Linked DNA regions of Canis lupus familiaris. The protein of the gene in region 1 purifies or fractionates together with the protein of each later gene. This does not show direct contact. Links are inferred from orthologs where the notes say so. Each region holds a gene or a part of one and is shown in the gene's direction. Other genes may lie near its edges.

The links.
Region 2: the proteins of RAB11FIP1 (region 1) and RAB11B purify together in Homo sapiens (affinity purification with mass spectrometry; 3 studies listed by BioGRID and IntAct, counting the BioPlex papers as one, with this or other methods). This does not show direct contact. The link is inferred for Canis lupus familiaris from reciprocal best matches to the Homo sapiens genes RAB11FIP1 and RAB11B.

Annotation. Positions count from the first base shown.
Region 1 is NC_049237.1:28,256,830-28,261,895, forward strand, and holds part of RAB11FIP1 (rab11 family-interacting protein 1), read left to right. Parts: intron 1-738; coding exon 739-1,540; intron 1,541-2,563; coding exon 2,564-4,435; intron 4,436-5,066. UniProt on the Homo sapiens protein: A Rab11 effector protein involved in the endosomal recycling process. Also involved in controlling membrane trafficking along the phagocytic pathway and in phagocytosis. Interaction with RAB14 may function in the process of neurite formation.
Region 2 is NC_049241.1:53,369,330-53,374,395, forward strand, and holds part of RAB11B (ras-related protein Rab-11B), read left to right. Parts: intron 1-1,254; coding exon 1,255-1,450; intron 1,451-2,163; coding exon 2,164-2,357; intron 2,358-2,701; coding exon 2,702-2,782; intron 2,783-3,396; coding exon 3,397-3,542; 3' UTR 3,543-5,066. UniProt on the Homo sapiens protein: The small GTPases Rab are key regulators of intracellular membrane trafficking, from the formation of transport vesicles to their fusion with membranes.

The DNA of each region.
Region 1 (5,066 bases):
ATAAATTCCTTTTTCTAAAATGTCTGGCTCTGTTGCTGATGTCCATTAAAAAAGGCTTTGAGGGGGCGCCTGGGTGGCTCAGTCAGTTAAGCATTTGCCTTTGGCTCAGATCACTGATCCCAGGATCCTGGGATCGAGCCCCACCTTAGTCTTCCTGCTCAGCAGGGAGCCTGCTTCTCCCTCTGGCTCTCCCCCTGTTTGTGCTCTATCTCAAATAAATAAAATCTGTATATATAAAATAAGCTTTTGGAATTAACAGAATGCATGCATCCAGGTTTTTCTTTTTTTAAATTAAGGGTAAAATCATGGAACCTTAGAGTAATTCTGACGTTTCATTGGTTCATCAGGTATTTATTGAGATCCTATTAATGTGTTTAACCTTCATGGGAATTATCCTTAATTAAGGTTGAGGAATCTAGTTCCTTTAACTGTGAATTTGAACTTCAATTTCAATGCCTAAATTCTTACTTTTGGCCAGATTTGGCCCTTCTCATTGGTTTAATGCAGGGTTTCCGGACCTCAGCACTCTTGGCAGGTTGGGCCAGATAACTCCTTGTTGTAGGGGCTGCCCCATGCATTGTAGGATCTTTAGCCGCATCCCTGGCTTCTACCTGTTAGATGCTGTAACACACCGTCATGCCAGTAAACAAAAACGTGTTCAGGCACGGAGAGATGTCACCCCTTTCCAGTTGTGAACCAGTCGTTTAACTTTTTGGTTTTTGTTTTTCTTCCCTGCAGTCATGTCTCACAAGAGAACAGAGAGTGCAGATCCTAAGCAACTGAACCAGAGCAATTTCAGCCTGCCCAAGAGGGAAGGACCCTCCTTTTTTGGTGGCCTTCGGTCTAAGAATGATGTCCTTTCTCGCTCTAACGTCTGTATCAATGGGAACCATGTTTACTTGGAGCAGCCGGAAACCAAGGGCGAGACGAAGGAGAGCACTCCCTCCTCTTCCCCGTCTCCCCAGGGCTTCCGGAAGAAGCATCTGTTCTCTTCCACCGAAAACCTGGCGACTCGGTCTTGGAAGGAGCCTGGGGATGGAGGGGCAGTGTCTTCCGACAGGCGGTGGTCTGAGTCTTCCACAAAGGACTCTCTCAAATCCATGTCTCTGCCGTCCTACCGGCCACAGGTCAGTGGGGATATTCGGGAGAACGCAGCACCAGCGAGCTTGGAGGCTGCAAAGGAAACCAAAGAGAGCAAGAAGCAGGAGAATAAGAAGTCCTCTTTGCTGTCCCTGGTGACGGGAAAGAAGGACACAGCCAAGGGCAGCGAAGGCGGAAGCCCTTCTGCCACCCCAGGGAAGGAGACAGAAGGCACATCGATGGAAGTCAAACCGAGGGAGGACCAGCCAGGGCCTGACGAAGACCTAGGGAAACGATCTGAGAAGGATACTGTGGCCGTTGTCTTTGGACAGGGCCGCTCCCTGAACCCGTTTGAAGAAGTGCAGGTCACAGAACCTGAACCTGACCGACAGCTCACGTTTGAACCCACACCCCCCGTCGGCTCTACGAGGGCACCGCAAACGAAAGCTGTCAAGCCACGGTGAGTCCTAGCCCTCCTCGGGCAGGGGGCCCACACCTCACTGTCCAGGGTAGTCAGCAAGGTCTACTGGCCGAGCAGATCTTGCTTGCTGGTCCGTGGTCGTAGCTGTGTATGGCAAGCATTTCATCATCTGAGTTATTTTTATCAGCCTATACTGCCTGCCTGGCCCACCCTGCCCGGGCTGCAGTGGTGCATCCCAGCCCAAAGCCCCTGCCAGCAGGCGCGGTCTGTCCATCTCAGTAAGATAATCAGACCCCGTGGAAAACCATGCTTTGCAGCTGACTATGAGTATTGCAAATGGGAATGCCAGGTTTTGGCTGTGGTATGAGCAGAACATGTGTTTTTATTTAAAGTTCTTTTTTTGTTTAAAGTTCTTATCACATATTGCCCTTTCAGGAGGATAGTATCTTTCCTCCTTGCAACGTGGCATTGCTTTGCTGGCACGGGAGGCCTTTGGTCCACTCTCGAGGATGCCTGGGATGGTTCTCTGAGTGTTCAGTTGTGCATCTTGTTGCAAAAGCCTGAGTGAGCGTCGGGGGGCTTCTGCTTTCAGCATGACTCACATTCACACTGACAATGTTTCTGTGGTCTGGGGTGGTAGAGACTTTTTTTGAGATTCTGCTTTACTTTGATTTCACACACATGCACACACACACATACACACACACACACACACACACATGCATGCAGACTGTTCCTCTTAAAACTGGTGCCTGTTACCCTGAGTGCATCCTTTATTGCTTTGAAATTTTTCGATGTATTTTGTTTATCACCAAAAGAGACCGTAGGCTGTTGCTTTACTTGGAGCTTTCTGTGTTGCAGCAGCCCTTCGCATGGCAGATGTGCTTGGTGATAAAAGTGTTCCTTTCATATGTTATTAATGTTCCTTCTCTAACTTCTTAAAATACTGCCCCAAATATTAAAGTGCTCTCCCCTTTGGAACACCTTTATCTTTTAAGTGTTTATCGCCTCTCATGATGAATCTGCAACTGACCTGCAGATTTTATTTTGTCCTTTTTGCAGACTGGACGTGTCTCCAGAGGCTCCAGCCACAGCCAGGCTTCCTTCTTCCCCTGACTCTACTCTCTTTTTTTCTGCTCTTCTGTCCAGTTCTGGCCAGACACCTGTCCCTTCTAAATTGGGGCATTGTGCAGAGACACCATCCTCTGAATCTCCTTCTGTCTTCTCTTTCTCATCTCCCATTGTGGCTCCCATTTCCACATCCACGCCAGTTGAAAACTGGCCCCCCACAGACCAGGGCCAGGCCAGTCCTGAAGAACCATCTTTGCTCCATAAGGCAGAATTGCTAAGAGAGAGTTTAACACAGGATCCAAAGACTGTTTCTTGTGCCTCGGGGTCACGTTTCCAACAGCTCCCCACTCCAGCGTGGAAGGGAATGGAAGATTATCCAATGGGGAAGACCAGTGAGATAGGCCTGGAGAGCACCGTCGGTCATGACTCAGAAAGGTCTCTCCTAAAGCAACCTGAAAGGGAAGAAGTTCAGAGGGCTCCCCACTCAGAACAAGACTATGCCCCTTCGTCTCAAGAGACCCAAGAAGTAATACTTGCTCCTTCATTCAGAAGTGGCCAGATCGAGAGCCCGGCATGGAGGCCTCTGATGGGGGAACACACAGGCTCAGAGCATCCATTTGGGTCTTTTGGGGAGAACAGAGTTAAGGGGGGCAGCATGACTTCTGCAATTAAAGAAGCGGCACCCCCTCTTCAGTCTGGAGAATCAGCTCCCACTCTTGGCTCTGTGATGCAGAGACACAAAGAGAATGTTGACGAAAGCCAAAAGAAAATCAAGAAGCGTGTATCATTTTCAGAGGAGATCTTTATGGAAGAGGAGCTAGAGGAGTCCACTGGGTTGGTGGAAGAGCACAGAGATAATCCCCAGGAGGTGACACACAAAGGAGCCACCTCTGGAAACCTGTCAGACGGAGAGCCTGCTGGGTGTTTCCACGCAGAGGTCACAGAGACGGAAGCTGTGTCTGCACCCGGGCCAGTGAAGCATGGTGTGCCAGCTTCCATGGCAGACCCCCTTCACTTCCCCTCTTCCAAGGAGTGTGTCTCAGAAGGCCCTGTGAGTGAGGCAAGCTCAGGGAAAGACATCCCACTCTTAAAGATTGAGCGAGACGATACGCCTATGGCTCAAAATCAGAGCAAAGCCAGTGATCACGAAGGTTTATTGTCTGATCCCCTGAGTGGCCTTCACTCTATCCCAGGTATTAACTCTCCAGTCATGGCTGATCTGGGCTTAACCCTTCCTGCAATTCCTGAAGTGGCGTCAGATGATGAAAGGGTGGATCAGGGTGAAGATGACAGAGAGACAGCCCAGGTGGCAGCCCTGCAAGTAGGACCTTCCTCCGTGAGCATGTCACATGCCCATCCTGAGATGGAGAAGGGGCCGAGGGGCGAGGCAGATGGGTGGGCGGCACCTGTAGAGAGCCTGCCTGACCTCGGGTCAAAAGCACCCGAAGTATCTGTTATGGCCTCTTCAGAGCCAACTACAGCTTCAGGAATTCATAAACCAGAGCTTGGCAAGAGCTCACGCTTGGATAAACAGCTGCCAGGTCCTGGCTGTGGCAAGAAGGAAAAGCTGATGGGAAATGGGAGGCCCAGCCAGCCTCCTGATACAGCCCTCGACTCCCCTGTACCCAGCCCCTCCTTTTCTGAGACCTTTCCTATTACACACTCTTTCCCCAGCCACCCACATGCTGACACTCACCACACCAGTACAGCAGAATCTCAAAAAAAAGCAACAGCAGAGGGCTCCGCTGATAAAGTGGAAAATTCTGGCAAGAGGAAGCCGCTTCTTCAGGCCTGGGTCTCACCCTCAGAGACACAGCCAGTCTCAGCTCAGCCAAGCGCGGGAACGGGGTCAGCCAAGCACAGGTGAGAGTCGGGGAAGATTGTTTTGTCAATGTGAGCGATCCCCCCCACCTTCCCACAGCCCTTTTTGCCTTTTGCCTGCAGAGATAAGGGCTTTCTAGCTGCATGGATATCCAGGTGGTACCTCCTGCACATTTTGCTGGTAAGGCTCATTTTTAAAGGGTCTGTCCAGTGGTGGGAACACCTTCTCAAGACACTCCTGCATTTGCAGGGAGGATACAATATTAGTCTTTAGAGATAGTTTAGGAATTACGCTGGACAGTCAGATTTGGGGCTCTCAGATCACAGAGATGTCTTGTGACCAGTACCTTCCTAGTATCAAAAACCAACTGAGATGGAGTGATAGAACGTAGCTGTGTTGGAAGCTTGCTTTAAGCTCCGCCCAAGGTAAAGCTGGCCTGTTTGTTCCCAACTCTTTATTGTGGAGGAACAGAAGGCTCTGTAGGGACTCACACAGGACAGTCCTAGGCTGTAGCTGCCTCAAAAATAAGAGGCTGTGTCTCGTGTTCTTCTGACATTGATAATGAGACAAGGGTCTGTGAGAACATTGGGACACCTGGTTGAGTGTGCTTGGTTGGTTTGTTTGCGGTGGCCTAGTGCTGACTGCCCTCGTTACCACAGGAACACTGGTGTG
Region 2 (5,066 bases), on another chromosome or scaffold:
CGGCTGGGGTGCCCAGGGCCGCCCTCTGGTGGCCTCCAGGAAAACAGCCTGCTGGTTGGCTGGGAGTAACCGCAAGGACACGGCCCCGCGGCTGGTGTGGACCAGGGTGGGGGCGGCGAAGGCGGTCAGAGGCCGTGGGAATTGGGGCACGCACATATCCATTCGAGGAAGAGCTTTTTACTGGTGCTGTGGGTGACCACGCCTTCGGCCCCCACGTCTTCCCATTGGACAGACCCACCCTGGGTGCCAGAGCCCAAGATCCACATGTGGGGGATCCATGTGGTTTCTCTCTGGCGTGTCTGGACCGACCGCCGAGTGTTGTTTCTTCTGCGTTGCACATCACCCGGGGGTGCCAGCGCGGCCCACACACCGTGCGTACACACACATGAGACGCAGTGTGTCTTGGGTCCAAGGACAGCCTCTTGGGCTCACACTTCTCCTGGAGCGTCTCACGTGGCCCTGCCCCAGAGCCTGGGGAGCCTTGGCCCCTTGGGGCAATGTTTCTCTGGCTGGGGCAGGAACCTTGTTAGAAGAATACCAGGAGAGGCTGGAGGGGCCTGCTCTGCTGTGCTCAGGACTGGTGCTCGGATGTCTCTGCAGGAAGGGCTGGCTCTGGGGGCGTCAGGGTGGCAGGCTCTGTGCCTTCATGGCTGCGTCTAGAGGGCACATTCCTGTTCCGCATGAGCCAGCTCCGACTGTGCCACAGCTGCATGTGGGATTGCTTATAGCAGCTCCCCGTGAGGGTGGGCGTGGGGGCGAGACTCCTCATTTCCTGTTAGAGCTCTGGAGACCGACCCTTCTGGTAAGAAGCTGGAAGAACACTGGTCATAACCGCTCCCCGGCCTGTCTTAGCATGCTAGGTGCTTGTGGAGTTCTGATCCTGCCATTTCTCCTTGAGTCCCCCTCTTGCAGAAAAGGCAGCCCAGAGAGGTTAAGACATACCTGCTGAGATGTCTGGGTCCAGCCCTCGCAGTGGGGGCAGCCCTGCTCCGAAGGACTGGAGACAGCTGGGGTGTTACGCCACCCACAGTGGCTGTGTTTGCAGAAGTCCTGAGCCCCTGTTTGCTTCTGCACCAGGGAACGTGGTGCCTTGGGCTCCAGGATGGCTCTGACTGCTCTGACATTGACTTTCAAGTTTGTGCAGCACCCAGGGTGCCCCGACAGTCCTGCAGGTGCACATGGGTGGTGTCTGGGCCTTGGCTCGGGGAAGCTGGCCTGCAGAGTCTCACCTATGTCCCTCCTGCCCCCCCAAAGTGGTGCTCATTGGGGACTCGGGCGTGGGGAAGAGCAACCTGCTATCACGCTTCACCCGCAACGAGTTCAACCTGGAGAGCAAGAGCACCATCGGCGTGGAATTCGCCACCCGCAGCATCCAGGTGGACGGCAAGACCATCAAGGCGCAGATCTGGGACACCGCCGGGCAGGAGCGCTACCGTGCCATCACCTCTGCGTGAGTGCCGGGGCTGGGGAGATGCAGGCAGCCACGGCGGTGGGCTGGTGGGCCTTGAAGGATGGGTAGGAGTTGGGCGGGAGAAGGGGAGAGCACACCTCTGCACAGTGGGCAGCCCAGGGTGGTGGGACAGGACCTCCAGGAACTGTGGGACCATTGGGGCAACCAATACCCAGTGTTGGCCACACTGTGACCCTAGGGTAGCCATGTCCTTTGCTCCCTCTGACCCCTGGAGTCCCCTGAGGCTCTGATTTCTCTGGATGCTGGCCACACGGTGAGGGTCACCTCTCTGCAGTCCTCAGCCAGTTGTGTCCTTGGGACTCCCTCCAACAAAGCCTGGTCACCTTCTCATGTCCCTAATCCTTCGGGGTAGACATGTGGCCGTCTGTCTCCTTGGTGGTCAGGCTGGCCGAGCCACGGTGGGCATCAGAGGTTGTGCCCAGCAGTGGCTCTCTCCTTCTTCCTTTTTATGAGTGTCTTCTGACCCCAGGTCCCAGACTTCTTCCTCTGGCTCCGTATTCCTGAGCTGAACCTGGGGAGCAGAGCCAGAACCTCAGGACACACCTGTCTCCCTCGAGGCCGCAGTGGCCACCCCTTGAGCAGGCCCTGTGCCTCCTGCTCTGTGTGTGGGGGCTTAGGGGCTGCTGCCCACAGAGCCCAGGCTAGGGGGTCGTGGGGGGCCCTGGCAGCCGGCTCACGCCCTGCCCCCACAGGTACTACCGCGGTGCAGTGGGCGCACTGCTCGTGTACGACATCGCCAAGCACCTGACCTATGAGAACGTGGAGCGCTGGCTGAAGGAGCTGCGGGACCACGCCGACAGCAACATCGTCATCATGCTGGTGGGCAACAAGAGTGACCTTCGCCACCTACGGGCCGTGCCCACTGACGAGGCCCGTGCCTTTGCCGGTGAGTCAAGCTGGGCTGGAGCAGGTGTGGCCAGGGGGCCTGCCCAGGCCTCCCCGGGGCCACATTCCCCAAAGCGAGATGGTGACTGAGGCGTCAGAGAAACATCTGGAAGGCGGGCAGCTGCCCTGCCCCCCAGGCCCCTGGCATCTTCTCTCTCTTGGCCATGGCCTCGGTACCAGCTACCCCTTCTTGAGGTGTGGTCATCTCGATCCTATCCCTTTGGCCCCAACCATTCATTTCATGGGCCAGGCAAGCGGGCAGGCAAGCAGGGTCGCTGAGAGGATGCAGGGCAGCGCCCCCCTGCTCCACCACTGCTCACCTGGGCCATATTCTTTTTGTTCCAGAAAAGAACAACTTGTCTTTCATTGAGACCTCAGCCTTGGATTCCACCAACGTAGAGGAAGCTTTCAAGAACATCCTCACAGGTGGTCACAGGGCCTGGCTGGGGCCATAGTAACCCCAATATGCCCATCGTGGGGGGGGCCTGGGAAGGGCACCAGCCATTCTGACTGCATGCTCCAGAGCACAGCCGGAGAAGCTTTAGTCTTTAAACCTGCAAGTCGGTCTGGACACAGGACAGATGTGGCGTGCTTTAGGGATCAGGCCAGATCCTGGCCCTGCTGGCACTCAGGACGTAGAGACCCCTTCGACCCAGCTTCTGCAAGGCCCCTCTGCCGTGGCTCCACCAGAGAGCAGCCAGCTCGGTCAGCCAGGGGGACACTGGGCCCCGAGGCCCCTGGGTGCTTATTCTGGGAGGAGGGGGCCTCTGATCATATAGGACAAGAGGCCAGGCCGGGGGTACATCTGTGACCAGACACGGGTCCCGTTCTTGCTGAGCACACAGTCAGCATTGGGTGACCAGGTGGGAGCCTGTCTCCCCCTGCCCCGCCGTGTTGGGGGGCACAGTCAGGGCCTTTGAGAGGGGTTTTGGGTTCAGCCTTGGGGCTGCTCCCCGGAGGGCGGCCGGTCCAGATGGCAGGGGGACAGTCATTGCGGGCGAGCACGCAGCACACTCACCCCACGTTCCCCCCACCTGCAGAGATCTACCGCATTGTGTCACAGAAGCAGATTGCAGACCGCGCAGCCCATGACGAGTCCCCTGGCAACAACGTGGTGGACATCAGCGTGCCGCCCACCACCGACGGACAGAAACCCAACAAGCTGCAGTGCTGCCAGAACCTGTGACCGCCCCGCGCCTCGTCCGAGCGTGCGTGCACGTCCTCGTCCTCCGCCCGCCCCTCACCTCTCTGTGCTCCCTTGCCCCACCCTCTCTGTCCCTCTGTGACTGGCTCCTGCCCTCCCATCGAGCTCCGCATGGCTGGCCAGGGCCCGGGAAGAACAGGAGTCAAGTGGTACCCGCTGTCCTGCTCAAGGAAAGCTAGAAGCCCGGGTTGCTGCACCTGCTCTTCTTGGGTCCCAGTGTGCATCGCGGCGGGTCGGGGAGGGTGGCAGGACGGACAGGGCCAGCCAGAGGCAAGGAGGATGGGCACACCGAGCAGGCTTCTCCAATTTTCCACGGCAGACTCCAGGGAGCGATCACCTCCCTCCCTCTGCGGCCAGTTGGCCCGACAACTGGCCCCCGATCCCCACCCAGAACCCCGTTCTGAGCATTAGCTCGAAGAGCAAGGCGCCAGGGGGCCAGGGCCAGTGGACACTCTTGGCTCTCGGCACCCCCGTTCCCCCACGCACAGCCAGCACCGGTACACGCCTTCGACCTCCCGTGTGTGCGCGACTCCAGCTCCTGCCTGTAGATTTATGCTGGGAGAAGACCCCTCTCCCCCCTCCCCTTCCTTTTGCACGCAGCGCGCTCTCCGGCCCTCCCTCCCTGTGCTCCCCTCTGTCTTGTCTCCTGTCTGGTCAGGAACCTGTTTGCAAGTGAAGCAATATCTCCGTGTTTTGTATATACAACCGCTCTTGTAGCCTTTGGTTTTTTTGTTATTGTAGAGAAACACAGATTCTTTATACACTTTGTAAGATTGACGCCAAACCCCAGCTCTCGATCTCTTATTCTCCCTGTGGCCCCTGCACTGTTGCCCCGATGCCTCATTTCTTCCGCCCGTTACTAAAATGTATAATCCGACTTCCTGTACAGAAACCTGCCACTGCGCCTTTGTCTTCATTTTTCTCTGCCAGGAGGCCACGCCTGGGGCCGGGGCTCCTCGCGGTGCATGTCCCGCTGCCACAGGGAGCTGGAAGACCAGGCCCAAGTGCCACCCAGGACAGTGCAGAGGCCCACGAGCTGACCACAGGGCCCTTGGCCTGGTGGTGGTGGGGGGTATCCTCTCCAAGCTGCCCCTGTGGCTGGGGGATGTATTCAGCTTCTTCCCAGCCCACTGCTCCCCATTCCTGGCCCTGGGGTTGGACTGTCCTCACTTCCATCTGCTGCCCACAGCTGCCTCCAGGGGCTCATCCAGGGGATGGTGGTGGTGCCAGCGCCACCCCTGCTCTCCCCATCCTGGACTGACCTTTGGGAAGGGCCCAGTGGAAGGATGCTGGTGACAGAGGGGAGGCAGGTGGCCTGGAGTTCCTCTGCCTCTCCCCAGGGTCCAGCTTCTCCCCTGGTCCATGTGGGCAGAGCCATTTCCTACTATGGAGGGAATGTCGCTATCCCCACAATCCCATCCCTGCACTGACCGTGTGACCCACTGTGTCCCCTCTCACCTGAGTGCCTGCAGCTGTTCCAGATGCTCTACCCTCTGACTGAAGCCA